Styela clava: one gene and its partners. The protein of the gene in region 2 purifies or fractionates together with the protein of the main gene of each other region. This does not show direct contact. Links are inferred from orthologs where the notes say so. Each region holds a gene or a part of one and is shown on either strand. Other genes may lie near its edges.

Region 1 (5,298 bases), on a different chromosome or scaffold from region 2:
TTTCCATTGGAATATTTTTATCTCCAACAGACTTTTGTTTCAGTTTCATAAGAGCAACCTTAGCAGACAGTTTTTGATTCTTCTTACTAACAGACTTTTTTTTGGAATTATCACATACAGACTTTTTTGGATTAGTAGAAGAAGTTTGAAATGTTTGCATACCAGCTTTTCGATGTGGTTCAGATTTTAATTGATGACATTTATGATCCTCTGGAAGGCGATGCTTCAAACAGAAATGCTTCCCACAGAGATTACATTCCACTTGTACGAGATCGCTCTGATTGCATTCCTCAAGTGAACAACTATAAGAACGAAGGGGAGTAACTCTAGTCAATGAGGAACCTTCTTTAATATAGTTGACATCTGAACAGCTATGTGCAGTTCTACCCTTGTGATCCAAACAAAATATCTGAGAGCATCCATCACATTCAAATGGTAGGAAATCAAGTCGCTGACATTGAAGTAAACTGCATTGTTTACCAATATTGAGTTCTGCCATAGCTTATATGAATTAAATATCTTGTACCTTGATACCAGAAATTATAAAAATAATAACCGGTTAGTATCAATTAATTCTCCCAACATAAATATGAAAATGTATGCAATTGAATGATACTATGATTATGTATAATTATTTATGTAATATAGGTATATATTATTTTGTTTAAATGAAATAACATAAAAAAATAAGGTATCATTGAGAATCGTATATAAAAATAAAGCATAATAACATTAGACGCTGTTTGTATCATAATAATACGTATTAGCATCAGAAGACAATTTCCAGTTTCCAGCTCGAAGTTCAATAATTTCAAGCAGCAGCAATCTTGAAAGCTGTGATGTGGTTTCTGACAAAAACAATTCGCGAATTATACAAAATAGTTCAGCCATTTTCTTCTCATTCAATCCTTCCAATTCCTCTCCATGAAGTTGTATTTGCATAACCAAACATTGAATAATTTCCTCTCTTTTATTGCTCTGCTTCGCCACGCTTGCCAAAGAAGCCAAACACTCGAACACTGGAGTTACTAAAGCAACAAGTGCCCTCCCATCAATACGGATGTGGTGAAAAATGCTACTCAAAAAGGTCACAAATGCTATCAATCTGGCTTCATTATGTTCTTCAGTCGTTCTGATGTTGGTGTACTCTCTTTGGAGTTTTGTGAGCAAAATGTTCCGAAATCGTGTATCATTTGATATTTTGCCTTCATTTTCTACAAATATGCTGCACAGTTTTGCAGCATTACTTCCATATTTTACATCTGAAATTGCTTGCAGTACAATAATTTCAACTAGGGGTCTGATATCTTGTTGGTTATTGCCGCTCGTGTTCCAGCCACCCAGGGCTTTACTTACAGCATCTCTGTTCTTCCTGTTAAATCCAAGCTGTTCTAACATATTATGCTCCATAGCCTGGCTTCCCCAATAATAATACTGAAAGCAACAGTACGCAGAAAATCACTTTGTTAATCATAGCAGCAGCTGCAAATCGGGCGAAAAGCTGATTTCAGCTCTGCACGAGTGCGAAATCGTAGACCAGCTTTGTGAGCCACCGAGTGACAGAAGCAAGATGTGCGCTTGTGCGGACGAGTTGATACTCTCCGACGTCCAGTTAAATCGAGATAAAGATTCCCAAATAGTTTTGAATAAGAAACATGGTGAATATGCAATCCACCTTGTCGATTTTCACATAAAATTACCTGGATGCTTGATACAGATTGTTAGTGAGCGAACTGAAAAATCTTTCGGAATAACTGATTCGATCCATGACGATGACGGCGATTTGATTGTTTCTAGAAGCGCAGCTAACTTTGACAAGCAGAACCAAACGCTCAATTTTCGTATACACCATGCAATGGAAACACATCTTGCCGACGTTGGCTTACAAGTATGGATGGGAGCGCTTGGGATGATAGATTTCATGTTAGACAACGTTCAGTTATTCCGCAATAAACAGATTTTGGAACTTGGGGCAGGCGTTGGCCTGACTGGTATTGTTGCAGGGACATTAACCAATAAAATCACTCTCACGGACGTTGGAGAGAACATTTTGGGTCTCTGTGAAATGAATTATCACGCAAACCAAAACATCTTTCAAAGTCCTCCCCACTGCTTCGAAATTAGGGAACTGAACTGGCACAAGCCCACTTCAATAAAATCACTGTGCATACCCAAACCTGACATAATTATGGCATGTGATGTAATTTATGACAACGATATCACAAATGCGTTTTTTCAAACTCTCCAAATCTTGCTGAATGGGGACACATACACCAAGGAAGGTTGCCGACCTTCAATTGTAAAAGTGTACATCTCTACAGAGAAGAGACTCAACTTCACTTTGGAGGACTTGGATATCACTTGCAAAGAGTACAATCATTTTTTATGCAAACTGAGCGAACTCGAGAATACATTTCAATCTTCATTGTCTGTCCAAAGAATTGATATGGAAGACATAAGTCAGTTCTGCCAATACAATCAGACTCAACAATTAGAAATATGGGAGATTCAAAAACAATTGTAACAACATATTTTATATGAGTGTATTATTGTTTTGAAAGTTTACTTGAAAATTGTACAGAACTTGCACAAAAAGAAAGTGAATAGAAGTAAAATCAAATGAGATTAAATTGAAAGATAAAATGCTTGCGCATAAGCATATACAGAATAATTTATAACTTCTGGAACCTGCTTTTTACAATTATTGCTGGTGAAAAAATTACAATATATTGGTTAATTGTATTATACACATTGACAACATCCAAGACTATAGAAAAAATGGTTTAGGTCTCCTTGTTGCCTTTTTCGCAATAATATTTTGACTTGTTTTCAAATCTGAAGAATCTTTGTGTCCATCATCCTTCTTGACCTAATGAGTAAATGGAATAATGATTATTATTCAACTTGATAACGTTGAAACTAAAATTGCCAATCAGTGTTGAACTTGTGAACGTTCTTTACCTGGTCCAGTGTTTCTGCCATTCCTTACATATACTATCTCTATGCATATTGTTACATATATTACTTCGATGTTACATCTCTGTAAATATATCAAAATCATTTGCTCCAAAGGATACTTTTTGAGGTGTAGTTACCAGGGTTGGCCAATATCGAATAGTTCACTATTTCGAATACATTCGAAATTATTTTTTCCGAATATGAAATTTCGAATACTTTGAAAATAAAATCCACTAATTGAAGCTTATCTAAATGTATGTAGGAATTTCCATACAATAAGCAATGGAATAACTGCTATCTAACGTTACAACCTAGCCAAATTACCAGGCATTTCATATTTGCAGATTATTGCAGTATATATTTTATATACCATGAGTCATGTTAACAGAATTAAATTAATACGACAATAGTGGTATCGATGATGGATTTGAATATTTGCGCAACACAAAATCATCCTAGTAAAACGCCCATACTTTTAAATACCAACCATTATCCAAATTATTTGTCAAAAAGCGGGATAAAGTATGAGGTATTTTTCCGACTTGTAACAATTTTTTCGTGAATACAAAAATACGAATCAAAAATTAATCATATTCGGGAACTTTACCACACATTTTAAGTCCGCAGATCGCCGTTGTATGTTTGAGTAATAATACTTTTATTATTTCATAAATATGAAAATAGGAATCAAAAATTAATTATATTCGGGAACTTTACCACACATTTTAAGTCCGCAGATCGCCGTTGTATGTTTGAGTAATAATACTTTTATTATTTCATAAATATGAAAATAGGAATCAAAAACTATTTATAATCGGGTAGTTTACCACTCATAGGTAGTTTTCGTACTCACGAAAAATTGTCACAAGTCGGAAAAAGAATTTATACTTTATCCCGCTCTTGGGAACTAATTTGGATAATGGTTGCCATTGGTTAATTAAAATGCCCTACCGTGTTAATTCAATTCTATTATCATAACTCAAATGTTGGTAAATCGGGCAGTTCACCACACATTTTAAGGCCACAGATCGCCGTTGCATTTTAGAATTATAATAGTTTTATTATTTTGTAAATACGAATCCGAAATAAATTATGATTGCGCAGTTTACCACGTATTTCATGTCCACAAATACCCGTTGTATTTGGTATTAATACTTTCATTATTTTATCAATATAAAAATAGGAATCAATATTTAATAATATCGGTCAGTTTACCACACATTTTATGTCCACAGATTGTCGATACAACCATGAGTTACGTTGAACAGAATTAAATTAATACGGCATGACATTTTAAATGCTGGTACCAGTCATGGATTGGATTATTTTGCGCAACAAAAAATCATCCTGGTAAAGGATCGATACTTATAACTATCGTTATCAGAATTATTTGCCAGAAATTATTTTCTAATAAATCGACCTTGTTTTTCCAACTTGTGACAATTTATTAGATATCGTAACAATGACGGCTATAAATACCGTATTTCCCGGCTAATAAGTCCACATGGCAAATAGGACGATGTCTATTTTTAGCACTCATAAAAGGGGTTTTTCCATATAGGCCTCCAATAAGACGGGTAGACAAATTGTGTCCCTGTTGTTCAGTAATGCTGATATGCGCTAATAATTTTATATGTTAAGGACCAGATCATGTTAGTTTGGTAGAATCATACTCACAGAATTAACTATTTTTAACAAATGAGTGGTAAATTCAAGTCGTAAAGCGGCAATCATTTTAGACAACATATTAACCCGAATGTCAAAATAATTTTGGAATGTGATAAGTACTACACTGTACGTCCATGGGTTATTTCACAGCTATGTTTTCCTATCCCTGTCCTGTTCTGCTGAATCGGCAAAACGAAAGGGTCACAAATCACTTTATCTCGGTGGCCGTGTTTCTCTTTAAAGTAACGATAACCAGCCTGCGATTAAATATCATGATTGGCAGACCCTAAGACCCAAATATAAGGTTACACAAATCATGCTTGAGAAGACTCATGCGAATAATAAGCAGGACACATAGAAATAAAATAAACATACTTTCTCAATTTTTCGACGTAATGGAAATGAATTTGTAAATTAAAAGCCACGTACACGAATGACGGCAATGTCCACCCACGGAAACGTGCAAATGTGTCGCAACACTATGAGACGTATGGTCTCACAGAATATAAACAATCAAAGTGCCGATTCTATTTCATCGTCATTACAATACGTGAGACAGCGTAAAAAGTCGTTTGAAGATTCCCGTTAAAACGAAACACCACGTTTAGGGCGAAAAGTGGCTACTATTCGTAATTATTCGAAAATCAGCCAAATTGGTATTCGAATACTTTG
Region 2 (7,617 bases):
CTCTGTCCAAAAATTTTTGACAGTGTCACTAAACGAAGGTCTTACCTCATCATCTTCAATTTCGTTTCCATCTGAGCTGCCAGAATATTTCAATTTCTTTTTATATGTTTTGACTTCCGCAGTCTCGCGCTCTGATTTCTCCATCATGTTGACCCAGGAACTTGTAGATTCTTCAACTAAATAGAAGGAAGTTAGGAATATGGATTTCAAATCTGAGAAGTTCGGTCTGTTTTTCTATCGTATTTTTTTAAAGGAATTACAAGCACTCTTACTCAGAAGTGAAAATGACTCATCTCTGAGTAAAATTACGAGAACTCATTCAGAAGTAAAGGAGACTCGTCTCTGAGCAAAGTTATGAGTACTGTCTCAGAAGTAAAGGAGACTCATCTCTAAGCAAAGTAACAGGCACTCACTTAGAAGTAAAGGAGACTCATCTCTGTGCAAAGTAACAGGCACTCACTTAGAAGTAAAGGAGACTCATCTCTAAGCAAAGTTACAGGCACTCACTCAGGAGTAAAGGAGACTCATCTCTGAGCAAAGTTACGTGCACTCACTCAGAAGTAAAGGAGACTCGTCTCTGAGCAAAGTAACAGGCACTCACTTAGAAGTAAAGGAGACTCATCTCTAAGCAAAGTTACAGGCACTCACTCAGAAGTAAAGGAGACTCGTCTCTGAGCAAAGTAACAGGCACTCACTTAGAAGTAAAGGAGACTCAGCTCTAAGCAAAATTACGGGCACTCACTCAGAATTTCAAAAACAAAATCTTTGACAAAACCTAAAATAGTATCAAGTTGACCGACCAACAAATTCAAACAGACAAACGAAAAAGGACCGTGTGCACTTTTTTTGCTCAAAATTTGATTTACGTTGAGTTGAAAATTTCAGTTAAAAACATTCTTGGGATGTGAGGTCTATCACATAATTTGCTTTAACACACTAGGCCAGGGGTAAGCAACAGGAATCCCGCAACCAGTCACGACAAGTCATTTTCAAATTTTCAAAGGGGGGGGGGGGGGGTCTTGGGGGGTTCTGAAAATTTCAAGTGTCTCACTAAAATAATAAATAAATCAAATTTTGCATTGTGAGAATTTTTTTATTCTTTGGCTACATGGAACATCCAATTTTTTTGTGTGGCCCAAGCTAGATATAACCAAGTTGGTTATATGGTTCACCGAAAAGTTGAACATTCCTGAACTTGGCCAATAAACTCACCCGTCAAGCAATCATCGTCTGAATCTGTGGCTCGTTTCCGCAAAGGAACCCTCGTCTCTTCGTCTTTGCTTGTGTATTCTTTACTGTTGAATCTAAATTTATTTAGACAGAATTATGACTATTATCACAGGTAAGAAAAGCAGTATAAAATTCGAGGAATATTCCGTAAAAATTTATTTTGGCGTAATTATGAATATCGTCACAGGTAAGAAAAGCAAGCATACAATTCGGGAAATGTTCCCCAAAGTTCATTCAATAAATCTCTGGTTGTGTATTGTTTACTGTTGAATGTGAATTATTATGGCGGAATTATGTTAACCGCCATGATTAAGAAAAGCAATATAAAATTTTAGGAATAGTGCGTAAAAAAAATTTTCTTGGCGGAATTATGACGACTGACATAGGTATGAAAAGCAGTATAAAATTCAAGAAATATTCTGCCTAATTTATTTAATGTGAAAATCTTTTTTTCAATCTTCACCTTCGAATTTACAAGTATCGTGATTGGCGGAATGATGTTGACTTTTACAGGTTTGAAAACCAGTATAAAATTTAAAAAATATTCCGCAAAATTTATTTTTAATAAATCTCTCGTGTATTTCTTACTGTTGAATCAAAAAGTATATTTCTTGGCAGAATTATGTGGACTGTCTCACCTCTGAATAGTAGTATGAAATTTTAGATATAATTCGCAAAATTTATTTTAAAGTATTGGGAGTCGGAATTTATATTTCAGAAATTTAATGGTGATAAACTTATATATAATTTAGCCGGATCATTTTTGCCTTTAATTTTGTTTATAGATGACTCTTAACTTCTGAGAGTGCATATGACATTACTTTGAGCTATTTTTTTAATAGTTCACGACATTTCAGTGGTTATTTTCACGAAATTTTGCTAAAGGTGGATTCCCTTCTGAGTGGATGTTCCAGAAAATTGCGTCAATAAGAAAAAAAGAGAATATTGGTCAGAGACCGAAGACTTATCGATGGAAAGTTAGGGGATCCCCCAAAACAGCGCTCTTACTCCATAGTGACACATTGTGTCCCATCACTAATTAATTAATTACTCGCTAATTATACGACATAATTCGCCCAAAATCAATAGGCTTCTGGTCCGAGATAAGATGAATGCACATGCAAAATCTGGAGCAGATTCAATCTCGCTTTCGTGAGATATCGCGTGCATCTAACAGACAAACAGATACCTATCAACATACTTACTGATTAAAATCGATAAGTAATAACACAAATATGTTTCTGTTAATGTGCAGCAAGGCTATTGAATCACTCAAAATATCCATAGTTATTCTCGCTACAGTATCCTTGCACTCAGACGGATCCGCCGGCACAAAAGCATAGAAGAAGGATAAGTAGTTAGTCTCGCAGAAACCAAATCATTGTCTCGCACAAAAAAAAAATTGAAAAATTAATATATACCTGGACTGTGACCATCTTCTCCCCCTTTTATCAGAGTCAAGGTCATTTGTAGGTCGTATCGGGCTTCTCAAATCCAAGAGTTCATTTTCTTTCGTATCACCACGACGAGATGAATACCTTGTCGGTTTTTCTTTCGGACTTTCAGTATAAAAACGCCGCCTGTCACGCATCGGTAGATTTTCTTTAGGTGACTCCATTTAAAATATATGGGAATACGGAGGAAAATCACAACACAATAAATTGACAGAATCCACTCATTCAGTTGCAAGCACAAAAAAAGTATTTTTTTCAGTAATGTTAATTTCCAAATCTTTTTTCTTCGTTTCTGTGATTATATCCAAAAATATCTTCCTTTTTAGGTATTTTATGATAAAATCTATAAAAAAAGGTACATTTTCGTTTTAAAATGCAACAATCACGAGACTTTTTAAAACATTTTAACCTTGGTGAAAGTATAAAATCGGACATTTTTACAAAAACACAATAATGATTCAATTACATTCAAAATAACAAAGTATAAATCCCAGGGTGAACTGAAGCTGAATTATGTAGGGCAGGGGTTCTCAACCTGGGGTTCACGAGAAGATTTCCAGGAGTACTTGGATGGCAGTCGAGTTTTTGTGTGATGATCCTTTTCAATATCCTTTATTACTACCCTAGGAAAATGCGTGTCGTGTCCATTGAAACTAGATGCCAATTTGATTGATGGTAGATTTTCCCTGATGTTGCGTTGTTGTGATTGTGGCGCAACAATGTGAAATTCAAGGTTTTGCATGCAAACTGTGAAATCTCTAAAGCTGGGAGCATTGGAGAAGTGATTATGCTTATTGAAACTTTGGAAAGATTTTATAAATTCATTAGTTAGGCAGACGGCAAGGGCAATACTATCAACAAGACGATTTATTTAAGTTACATAAGGTCAATAAATTGGTGTTGCAACAAATTGTTAGTCAATATATCACAACTTTGTTCGGTGTCTGATTTCCGGGGGTTCGCATTGATTGTTTCGTGACTCGGGGGTACTTGACAGAAAAAAGGTTGAGATCCCCTGATGTAGAGTATTTAAATTCGCAAAATTATCATTTTGCGATATCAAATCCTAACGGGTATAGCAGTGGTTCTCTTCATAAAGCTGGGCCTCCTTTTTTGAATTTGTCTGGCGCACTATCTTAAAATACCTATTTAATAATGAGCAGAAATTTAACCCGTTTAACATGTGTCACTATAGTTCAATTTTAATTCTAGCAGCAATGAATGATGATGCTGATTATTCATTCATTAGAATTTCCATTCTAATTATTAGGGCGAAAGTGTATTTTTTTGCACTCAAATATTTTTCATTTTTCTCTTGCATAAAAAAGTTAGACCACAGAAGTTTGTGCAACAAAAATGCGCCACTAATGGAAAAAGGTCAAGAACCACTAGTTCAGACAATCAACTTTAAATTTTGCCATTTGTTTATAAAATCGTGAACACTAGCAGAATACAGTCAAAATCTATGTTTATTCAACTTTGAAACATTCTCTGTTGAAGATAATGAGTTTTCATGCAATTTGTTTATAAAATCGTTAAACACTGGCTGTCCATAGAACAAAAACTAAAAAAGAGAGATAATCAAACACATAATTAGCAAGAGTGTCATGAGTCCTGAACAAGGCTTTGTAAAAAAATTACTGAAACACGTTCACAAATAAATTCCCATTAAACTTGAAAAATAAAATAAAAATGGCGCAGCTAGAAGTTTCAAAAGCCCTTCTTGAAAATTCCAGATGATCAAAAAGCGAATCGGTCTGTAAATGTGTGGCTAGTATAAACAGATTCTTTATTATACAATCATCGTTGACAAGGCGCTTATTAACATAGGTAAAGGAGATTGAAAGTCCTGGCTGCGTCTGTGAGTCTGACTTCAAATGCCACAAATGATAGTAATCGGTAGAACAGACAAGCGAGAAATCAATAACACATAAAAACTATCACAAATTCATATCAATAAAATTTTGAACAATATAACGAAAACTGAGATGATTCTTTATCTTAAAACATGTAACAAGAGCATGATTTTTCCAAACTTTACAAAATACAAAAAATAATGACATTGTCTGTAACTTTCGTTTGAAATATATTTGTATAAGTAAGATAAAAGACTCTTGTCTAGTTCACTCTTGCATTATATGGGTCCACCAGTGTAAAAGTATAGAAGAAGGATAAGTGGTTGGTCCCAAGAAAACCAAGTAGCTCAAGTTTTCAATTTCCCTCTTTTTGGGTCAGTTTTAATTATTTCAAATATAGATTCTGAGCAGAAATCATGAATTTTATAGAAAACTTGTAATTACAGTTACTGAATGCATGAAATATATTTTTTTCTATTAGGTTTACCTTGAAATTCCATTTGAACAACATTAATAAGAACAAAGCAAGAATTATTTTTTAAATTTTCTCTGCTTTATGGTATAGTTTCTGAATATGGAATTTTTACTTTACCAAAATGAGCAATTTCTATAACAAAAAAAAATGATTCACTAAAATTAAAAAACAAAACAATAATAAAAGTCGAGCAATTGATAGCCATAATATACATATAGTGAGTCCACGGGCTTTTGAAATCATATTGCCGCAGTAATACAAAAGTACAGATGCCATATTTTTAAGAAATATATTTTTTGATCATCTATCAATAGAAAACCATGGGCCATCTTTAGGTCTGGGTTTAAACCTGTACCTGTTTTAGGTTTTACTTTAGTTAGTGCGTCATGTCAATATGTAGGTTTTCTTGTACAGATTGAAATATGAAATTTTCTCAAAACTTTAATACGTGACGTGAGCTAAAATGGTTTTACTGCAACGATAAAGTATTAATGTTCTGATAGACTATTCCCAGTTATCCACCCCCCCCCCCCCCCCATTCAAAATTCCAGCGGAATCTGGAATTCCTAACACCACCCAAACTGGTATTAATTATTAGTAATGAGTAGAGAGTAACTGAAAAAAGTTCATTCTGATTTATTTTTCATATCTCACTATCAGATGTCAATTGATCAACATGGCTAATTATCAAATAAAACTTCTGACTTATTCCTAAAATCAGAAAATTACTTTTCTAAATAGACCTATTTTGATGTTTCTAAATGTTTAATTCATTTTTGATCGAGTTATTTGAAGTAAAATTCCAAATACAAAATGATTGAGATGCATATATGATTATTCAACTAGGCTTGATGTAATTCTTGTGTCAAAAATACTGCCCCCACCCCCCTCAATAAAAAATATCCTCCACTGGATATTGCAAGCAAACAGTTTTAAATTTTCATACAAAATTGTCAAAATTAGGAAGTGATGATTCATCACTAGTAGTAAAGCATGACTAATCAAATATTTGATGTGAAGTTTTTGAAAAGTTTTTAGGCTGTTTCACGAGAAACAGTGCAGTCTCATTAGTTCTTCAATATTGGGTCGTAACCATGGCAACCTTCTCCCTCAGCTCAAGATATTATTTTTTTCACGGTTTCTTTTATGAACCCTTTTTTGTCTGTGAGGTCGAACTCTGGGTATTGTTCGTAAACTTGCAAGATGACAGCTTTCATTGTCAAAGCTCCGAGATCAGCATCTTGAAGACAATTTTCGATGAACTTACGGACTTCTGCGTTTGACGGCGGCGTTTTCTGTTTATGCATGAGCGGCTCGTCATCTGATGTATCATCATCCATCCCCGACGTTTTTTTCGACTTTGATTTCGGTTTTGTAATCTTAATTTTCGCTTTTTTATTTGGAGTTGACTTTTTAGCAGGTATTTTCAAAGGCGTTTTTTTCTTTTTTTCGTCTGCGATTTCTTTTTTCTTGCGCTTTTTTACTGGCGTAGCACCATCGGAAGTTGCGTCCCCATTTTCAACAGCATTCGCACTTCGTTTAATTTTTTTGGTTCTCTTTTTTTTCTGTGTGGGATCCTTCTTTTTCTTTTTTTCCGGTACCGGTTTATCCTGCGGTTTCGGACAGAGACACCAAGCCATGAAAGCATCGATCAATTCTTCTTTATTCCCTTTAATGCTTGGAACGTCGCAGACACTCATGGCCCATTTCAAATTATCGACTGTGAATTTGCCGATAAACTCTTCCTTTTTCTCGTACTCTGGGGTACCTTTTTGTATGTTGAAGCCGCAGAATTCTCGAATATTTTTCTTGCATGCGAGATGTGTGCCTTGTACGTTATAAAAAAATTTGTGAATAATTTTTAAATCCTCTGCAGAGTTACGTTGTAGTTGATATTCCACACGAGGGTGATTACCGATGCGGATCCCACTGCCTTTCGGTATTTCAACATTCTTTTTCTTGTCAACAGCGGGACTAGTTGCCTCGTCATCGTACGTGAAACGTTTAATTTTCTTTCGCTCTCTTTTTGCCTCTAGAATTTCAACAGGCCGCTCTAAAAGCCCGGGAGGAAGGGACTCATCAGAATCACTGTCACTTTGTTCATCATCGCCCACAATTGCGTCTGATTTTTCCGCATTTATTGAAGAATCCACAATTGTCGATTCATCTGCGACGCTCTGCTCTGTTTCTGATTGGTCAACTTTTTGTGTAAGCTCTGCCTTGGGTTCTGTTTCTACCTCTTGAGCCTCTGGCTCCACCTTTTCTTCATGCTCCACTGCCTTTCGTGGTTCTGTCTCGGACATGCTTGGTTGAATTATTTTTAAAAACTAAAGCTAAAAACAAATCTAGAATTTAAGAGAAAAACAGGATCAGTTATAAAATCTAGCAAAGAATAATTCAGAACTGATATTTTATAAATTATGATAATGCAACAAAAAAATTGAAAGTAACAGTACTTTAGTAGGGTTCCATATGCTCGCTCTGAGCAAGGCCCTGAACACGTAGTAAAGAGCGTTATCTGACAAAAAATATTCTGTATGATATCTTAGAAATTACCATAAAGAGAGCAAACTAACCATAAGGCAACAGTAATTAAATGATA
Region 3 (7,762 bases), on a different chromosome or scaffold from region 2:
ATAAAATACCTTTGATTTAAAATTTTAGTACAAAAAATGGATTTCAATAATATAAATCCTTGTATTGAAGTAGGCTACATAAAATATCTTTGATTTGGATTTTGTTCAAACCATTAATATCCTTTGAACACAGGGATAGTTTATTCCCTGGCACTGCCTTATACAGCCAAAATAATATACCTGAATTTAACCTTAATTATTTGATCAATTTATTAAAGACAGTAAAGGGTAAGATGACAAACTCATAATATTTTGCAACATAGCACACCAAAAATTTCAAATGGACTCGAAATATCTGAATCAATTTATCACTTAATACTCGCTTCAGAGAAAACAAATACAAACAATATCAGAGTAAAAAAATTGATTGCTTGTTCATATCATATTTGATTAGAATAACTAATCTACTTTTCAACAGATTATTAATGCAAAAAGTAAGCATAAAATCAATATAATAAGCTGATAAATCTATACTCCATAACAGAGATTGCACATAACAATTGTGAATCTGAAATAATAACTCATTCAAAATCACTAATTGATTGCAATTATTGTGTATGACATTTTTCTAGTAGTAAGGACAACTGTAAAATAAATTGTACAAATAAAAATTGAGATGGACAAAACAAAGTAAATTTTATTTCTTACAAAATATAAATATCAAATATGGTGATTTTGAAGTATTGCTCAAGTGTCTATTATTAAACCTGGATGATATGGTATGTTAAATCACGATCGAACTGGAGCATTAAGCAAATACTGAAATTTAAAAAAAAAACGGCTGAGGGTAACCAGAAATTAGTAATTAACCCTTGCAAATCAATGATTCGAAGAAAAAATAATTTTATAAAATATCATGTTACCTTCCTGAAGTATTTCCACGGCCATTGCAAAACCATTTCTTTGTTGTATTACACATCACAACACAGTTAGGATCATGAATTCCACAATACCTAAAAATTACAGTTGTTAATGCGACAAACCTTTTGATATATACCTAATTCTTATATGAATATATATTCAGGAAAATAGTGATGGTGAGTTTAATAATAAATGATGATATTAATAAATATGAAAGGCTTCTTTTTATACAGCAGTCTCGAAAATTGCCTGGAATTTTTCTCATAGCACCTCAAGGATGGCCACAACTTATTTTTCATTTTCATATTTCTCATTTGAACAGATGCGAAAATACGAGAAAGCGGGTTTAATAAGCAGCATCTAGGTAGAAAGCTTAATGATTTGTCAATCATATTAGCCCCAGATGTGTTTGAGCAACCTCTTTCACCTTATTTCACTGAGTAGGAGTATTAAGCTAATTACATGAATTTTAAAAATCTGTCTGTACCGAACAGTCTGTATGATGAAATTTAAACAGTACTGCAGGCTGACCCTACATAATAATAACAAAGCTTATATGCATAATCAAATCATTATTTGGCAAGAATTGAACTAATGAACTGAATTTAACTCATGTCAAAATGCAGTATTTTATGATTAATTCAGGGTGATCGTTTCTCTTCACATAGGAGGCACAGGCACAAAATTTAGTAGATATTGCTGCTAAGAAATATGTGTAAGTAACATAAACTTCTATCATTTTATTAAATATATTACTAGGCGCTATGAGGCCTATGCTTGACAAACAAAATTTTTTCATAAAATTATCCCCACTGTTTGAAATCAGGAAACAAAAACAGATAAAATAATAATAAAAGCTCCGAGCATTCAATTATTTTTTAATCATGTGCTTGTTAATAAAAAATTCACCTGCAAGCATGTTCGGGAAGATCCTTAGTATAATAAGTATCTTCTTCGTCTTCTTCCTCAAATCTCAGATCAGCAACCCCCTGGGTGGCAACATGAATATGTTCTTGTAATCCACCAATATCTTCACCATCCCCCACTTCTTCATTGTGATTGACTCCATCTACATCACCAACCTTAATGGAGATAAAACTTGATAATATTTGGTCTGCGGGTTTGACAACCCTGATCTAGATAATTCGTAGTTGAGAGAAATCACAAAAAAAAGATTGAGAAATTGATTTCGAGTTCTTCTACCAGAAGCAGTCCTGATAGTATTGGTATAATGTTCACTGCTCATTGATGATTATAAAACACGAGTACGCAGTTGTCAAACATATCGTTTGCATATGACTCTGTCGAATTGAAATATAAACGAGATCACTCACATTGTCAAGCCAATGCTAAACAAAATCACAAATTATAACAAAAGAGCAGAATTGAATGAAAAATTATTCTTGTATGAAGTCGTAGGCAAACTTCATCATTGTTTCAAGATTAACACAGTCATTTCTGGTTATAATTCTCCCAACTTATTACCATGTTAAAATACTTTTAGCATATGACTTATAATGGAATAAAGAGTTACCTGACTCTGACTGTTCTCTGCAATATCAAGTTGGCTTGCTTGACTTTGCTGTGTCTGAGTTTGCGTCTGGGTTTGGGATGGAATTGTGAAGTCTGTGAACTCATATTCACTTGCCTGAATAACAGAATTTTTTTGAATATTACTTTGTGATACTGTAGCAATTTTTACTTTAAGCAATTCTGTATTTAAAAACACAGTTAAATCATGATTAAATCAATGAATTGATAAGAGCAACTCACAGTAGCAAAGTATTAGTTTTATTAAAACTTGAATAAATATGTCTATAATTATATATTTATGCCTATAACTGTATCAGAGTTATAAGTTGCACCCCATCCACTTGATTCAGACCGTAACCAATTACAAAATAATTTTCAAGTTGTACTGTGTCCTGAGAGGTGAAGTGCAGTTGATTCCGGTTGTTTTGATATATTTAAAATAATTTCAAACAAGCGTCTCTCACCTGGGTATCTCCTCCAACAGTCAAATCGCCATCTTCTGTGTCCAAAAATGTCAGAGTTTGGGAACTTGGCCCATATGCATCAACGCTGCTCATTACAATCAGAAACTGTCCTCGCTATTTCACAATTTCAGTTTTATCTGTATATATCTGATTCAAATTCAAATTTTTACTGAACTAATTTATGGCAACGTTTAAATAACCAGAATGGGAAAGAATAACAGTCTAGTTCTTCCCAGTAATAAACCTGGTCTAATTTAGACCCATCGATAGTCAAACATGTAGCTTTGTGAGTAATATGTTCGAGTAATAGTACGACACAGTTCTCCTATTCCAAGAATAGACTCTACATCCAGACATCAATTATACTACTGTACTAATGAAGTGAGTGCAGACTTCTTCTTTATGAGGAAGTCTGGGCCTCCCTATTGGCAAACAGACACCGCGCAATAAAATGGAAGGAAGCGTGATTTAAAAACGTTACCATTCGATTCCTCGAAACAAAAAATCAGATTTAATGGAGGAAAAAAATTTTACAGTAGAATTTTGGCGGCTGAAGCATGTTAAATTATTATAGATACATGCCGTGATCTGCCGCAGTGCCAGACGCCCTCATTTCAGAGACTATTAATAGAGTATTATTTTTTATTGAAATAAAGTACCGGATTCCAAATAATTAAATATAGGGACATTTTGTAATGCTGTAATGCTGTAATGGGAGAACTGTGTCTTTTATCTTTACTTTCTGAGTTTTAGGCAACTTCTTCAAGGAAATAGACTATTCTGAAACTTCGCTGTTTGTGATAGATATTTATTGAGATTTTGTTTCTGTTTAATTATCTGTTACTGTTTAGTTATCATGCAGATATTGTTACATTTTTGAGGCAAATAAACATCGGTCTCACTACCGTACTTACTGAATAGAGCGCGAAACAGCGCAGAAGAGAGGGAAAGTGCGTGAAAAACAGCGCAGAAGAGAGGGAAACATTTTTCTTTCATGTGCACCAAGCTAGCGCACAACCTGAACGCAGTAGGTTAGGGTGCGTCATGTGAGGCTATTTAAAGATGTTGAAGATTAATGATATAAACTCGTGATCATTCCCTACTACAGTACTACTGTATACCGCTACTGCTTCCCATCAAATTGTTTAAAATTTCACGAAAGCTAATAAACAATGAAAGAAAATGTTTCCCCATCTCTTCTGCGCTCTATTCAGTACCGTAAGTAATAAGACCCAATAAACATACATAGTCTACATATCAAGACAGCAAGAGAAGGATACTGGTACCGGTATTGTGTGCATCTTTTTGGCACTTTTGTTTAATTATTTCAATATTAATTGGCTTATTAAAGATGATGACAGCTGATCAATTTATAGATTCGTTTACTGTACTAAGTGCAGAAGTGTCTGTACTGCTGTATGTCAAAACATAGTCTATAAACTGATAAACAAGCAATTTCCTCCCATACAGTACTGTGCCTAATACCACTAATATACCGGTAATGTTTATCTGTGTTTTCGAACACAAACAGGACAGGAGCACCGCCTGACCGTGGATCAATCCTAAATCTGAACGGCCTTTCAGCATTTGTCTCTAAGTTACGGTATCTGAACAGAATTGTCTGTTATCTTCTGCAATGCCCAGGTCGCAAGTGATAGGCTACTAAAAACATCGCGTAGGCTAATTCTGTATCGGTACCGGTACTACCTAATTCAGTAGGGGTTTCTGCTCGCATAGGCACCGGTCGCAGTTTAACAGATAACGTTAAATCTGACAAACTGGGGGAAGTTCCGTAACCTTCTGGCAAATATCAGCAGAATGTCCAACTAAAAAACACCACCTAATGGAAGAGTATCCAACTGCATGATCATATGGTGTAAACGCAATGTGTAAACGAGGTTTAGAATGTTGCGCAAGTACACTTCCATAAACATACGCTGAATGACTTCACCATTCTCGAGCAAGAACGAAACGTACTTGAGATTGAGACTCGAAATTGTTTATAACTCGAAAAATTCAAATTTAGCATAGCCTCAATGACGACACAATGCATTTTTATTACATCACTACATATTCAACAATTATATAAATGAAATATAGATTGATGATAACAGAGCACGTGCCGAGGGCGAGGTAAGCAAGCCGTGGTTTTATTGCCCGCGGGTTATGAGTTTTTCTGGCGTTTCTGGTTTTATGGGGGTTATCGCGAATTATGGAAAAGCGCAATTATGTCATCATCATTTTATTAGAATGCGAATGTCTTCTTCTTCTTTATTAATATTATTTGCAATGTCTTTCTAGCCTAAGTTTAGTTACTGGTCACAGTCTCTAAATGTTAGGTATAAACGACGCAAAATGTACCATCTGGGAAAAAAATTATGTCACAAATGGAAGTCCATGAATGGATAAGATTTACATATTTATCCTGGGGGAGAGGAAAGCCGATAAGACGGTTTAATCATATGGCGAATCATGGAATCTCGTCCGGTTAACAGTCCATGTGGTTTATGGAATCAGTTATTTTTTGTTTTCAGATGCATGGACTTGTGGAGTTCTTGGAATATCACAATCTTAAGAATTAGCTGAAGCCGTACACGTCAATGACTAAAACCGGTGAAGGGTATGAATAATTATTGGCATAAACTACGGGTCGGCACTCGGCAACCTTCAGTATTGTAGAAGCCATTTTTCCATCAACTTCAAACCTGCTCGGAGCCACATGTTGCGATAATGATGAAATGGAAAGAACTTGTTGGGGTACATGGGCTCGGCAATGTGGCGCATCGTGCTAAGCGTTAGGAATACGCTTGCCACCGCATCTCTGATTACCTTGCGTGGGTTTGCAGGTCCGAATCCCATGCGGGGATGATTATGTGCGAGAGAATTGCTGGACTCCTCGCCGCCGTAGGGTGGTTCACGTAACCGCTCGTCCGTTACGCCTCCTCCGCCATCAAGTCCATGCTTCCGAAAACAAATAACTGGCTAACCAATCCCATACCCGACCTGAAATGGTAACCGGACGAGAGACCGTGGTTCGGACTATGATTAAGTCGTCTTATCGACTTTCCTCTCTCCCGGGATAAATATGTAAATCCTATCCTATGTCGCACATCTGTGTCTTAGGCCAGTAAGGTCTTGAACATGTATCCCGTCTCTGTTATACCGTTTAATTATTATGCAAATATTGTTACATTTTTGAGGCAAACAAACATACATACATATATACATTGTAAAATGAAAAGAGAAAGTTTGTTTTGACAGATTGAATCCCCGTAATGCGACCCATTTTTACTGCTCGCGACTTCTACTTTGGGAACCGCAATTTTGTGGCATTTACACCGAGACATCAATTCCACGTATTTTTCAACACCAGTTTGTTCTAATCTCGAACGATTGGCCAAAAACCCGACGTTTCCTCACCATCAATATTTCATTCTCCAAATGAACCAACTGCGATAGATGAAACTCACGCTTACCTAGCTTGGATACCTTCGACAGCGAAGTAAGGTTGTGCAGAGTCAAAACATCGTTAGATATCAGTGGCTGCTTTATCTAGCCTTGTTCTGAGCAAAAGACACGAGTAAGCATTGTTCGTATTACGTCATTGTACAAGACAAAAGTTTGCCCCCTTTTCCACAATAAGAATTTGGCTGGCTACGGTATTGATCATATTTTAGTACGTTCATTCCTGCACTGAAATTAAGAGTTTCTGATGTGTTTTCATAAGTCATAAGAATATACACTCGGGTCAATTCGACGAAGCAGATATATTATATACACACGAACAAGACATATAAACAACACATTGCTATAAAATGAATAATACATTCACATTCAATTCTATCTCATCAAAGGGCTACATTCTTATCGCCATATCTGGGTTATATGAGTTGGTTGTGACTCCCGTGTACATTTCATATTTGACACCCAGCTTATATCCGGTGGTGTTTAATTTACACAACGGTAACGCTTGTTTTTCTGACATTTTCTTCTTTTGTTTCTGATACGTTGATGCTGTCTGACGATTCGTAGTTTTTCTGTATTTTCAGAAAACGTTTAGTTCTTTTTCTCAGTGGGCTGTATGAATAAGAAATTTAGTTTTCAATTTCATTCTGCTAATTCATAACCGCCGAAATTGGATGGTAAGAAATATAAACACTGTTTGCGATCTGCAACTTTTTGTCAGGTGATACCAGGAATGCAGGAAATAACCACTTTTAAGAATTAGATAGTCTATCATAATGTTCTACCCCGATAAAATTTTGAATTTCAGGTTAGGCTTGATCTGGTCCGTTCGAACTCTACAGAATGGCTTTATTTTTTAAGCATAGAAAAAACTTACCGGGATGACAGGTTGTAAAAAAGTGGATTAAGGCATTCTGATATTCGCAATAGAATATATGCGACTGTGAGAGTCAACCATTTCGTTCGCACAGTGAAGAGGTCCCTCAGATTCAATATTTTTGTCATGCGGTAGGCTAAAATAATGCAGAATCAATCTTATGGTATTTAATGAACAATTTCACCTTGGAACCTGAGACAAGTTAACAAATAAATAAAAATGAATAAGAAATACTAGTTAGGCGACCTTTGATGTAAGAAATATTCAATTTCAATGATAACAGAGATAATGATAGCGATTGCTTACAATTTTTTTATTTGACAAATAATAAAAATCTTGACCACTGAACAATCTAAAACGTATCATAAATTTGATCACTCATATAAAATTTAGATGCGATATTGTGTGTATAAAAGCTTTCGTTGCAACGCATACGTAAAGTTGTTACACAAATAGCGGTGACACTCGAAGTGGTATGTCGAATCAAGATTATCAGTTCGGGTTGGTCATTCTGATTGATATGGAAAGTATTTTTAAATCCAACTGCCTAAATAGGTTGGAA

The links. Proteins that work in one complex are often made in the same cells at the same time.
Region 1: the proteins of uncharacterized protein LOC120343829 (region 2) and MIF4G domain-containing protein B-like purify together in Homo sapiens (affinity purification with western blotting; 3 studies listed by BioGRID and IntAct, with this or other methods). This does not show direct contact. The link is inferred for Styela clava from reciprocal best matches to the Homo sapiens genes SLBP and MIF4GD.
Region 3: the proteins of uncharacterized protein LOC120343829 (region 2) and regulator of nonsense transcripts 1-like purify together in Homo sapiens (affinity purification with western blotting; 4 studies listed by BioGRID and IntAct, with this or other methods). This does not show direct contact. The link is inferred for Styela clava from reciprocal best matches to the Homo sapiens genes SLBP and UPF1.

What each region holds. Positions count from the first base shown.
Region 1 is NC_135262.1:16,893,062-16,898,359, reverse strand, and holds MIF4G domain-containing protein B-like, read right to left. Parts: upstream 1,416-5,298; 5' UTR 1,411-1,415; coding exon 733-1,410; 3' UTR 527-732; downstream 1-526. Other genes in the region: AN1-type zinc finger protein 1-like, read right to left, coding at 1-499; methyltransferase-like protein 22, read left to right, coding at 1,571-2,524; RNA demethylase ALKBH5-like, read right to left, coding at 2,768-2,869. UniProt on the Homo sapiens protein: Functions in replication-dependent translation of histone mRNAs which differ from other eukaryotic mRNAs in that they do not end with a poly-A tail but a stem-loop. May participate in circularizing those mRNAs specifically enhancing their translation.
Region 2 is NC_135254.1:1,516,876-1,524,492, reverse strand, and holds the start of uncharacterized protein LOC120343829, read right to left. Parts: upstream 3,014-7,617; 5' UTR 2,849-3,013; coding exon 2,652-2,848; intron 1,305-2,651; coding exon 1,213-1,304; intron 177-1,212; coding exon 46-176; intron 1-45. Other genes in the region: uncharacterized protein LOC120343828, read right to left, coding at 6,131-7,318. UniProt on the Homo sapiens protein: RNA-binding protein involved in the histone pre-mRNA processing.
Region 3 is NC_135257.1:5,899,398-5,907,159, forward strand, and holds the start of regulator of nonsense transcripts 1-like, read right to left. Parts: upstream 3,027-7,762; 5' UTR 2,952-3,026; coding exon 2,859-2,951; intron 2,510-2,858; coding exon 2,396-2,509; intron 1,944-2,395; coding exon 1,771-1,943; intron 954-1,770; coding exon 864-953; intron 1-863. Other genes in the region: growth hormone secretagogue receptor type 1-like, read right to left, coding at 6,715-6,895, 7,201-7,336. UniProt on the Homo sapiens protein: RNA-dependent helicase required for nonsense-mediated decay (NMD) of aberrant mRNAs containing premature stop codons and modulates the expression level of normal mRNAs.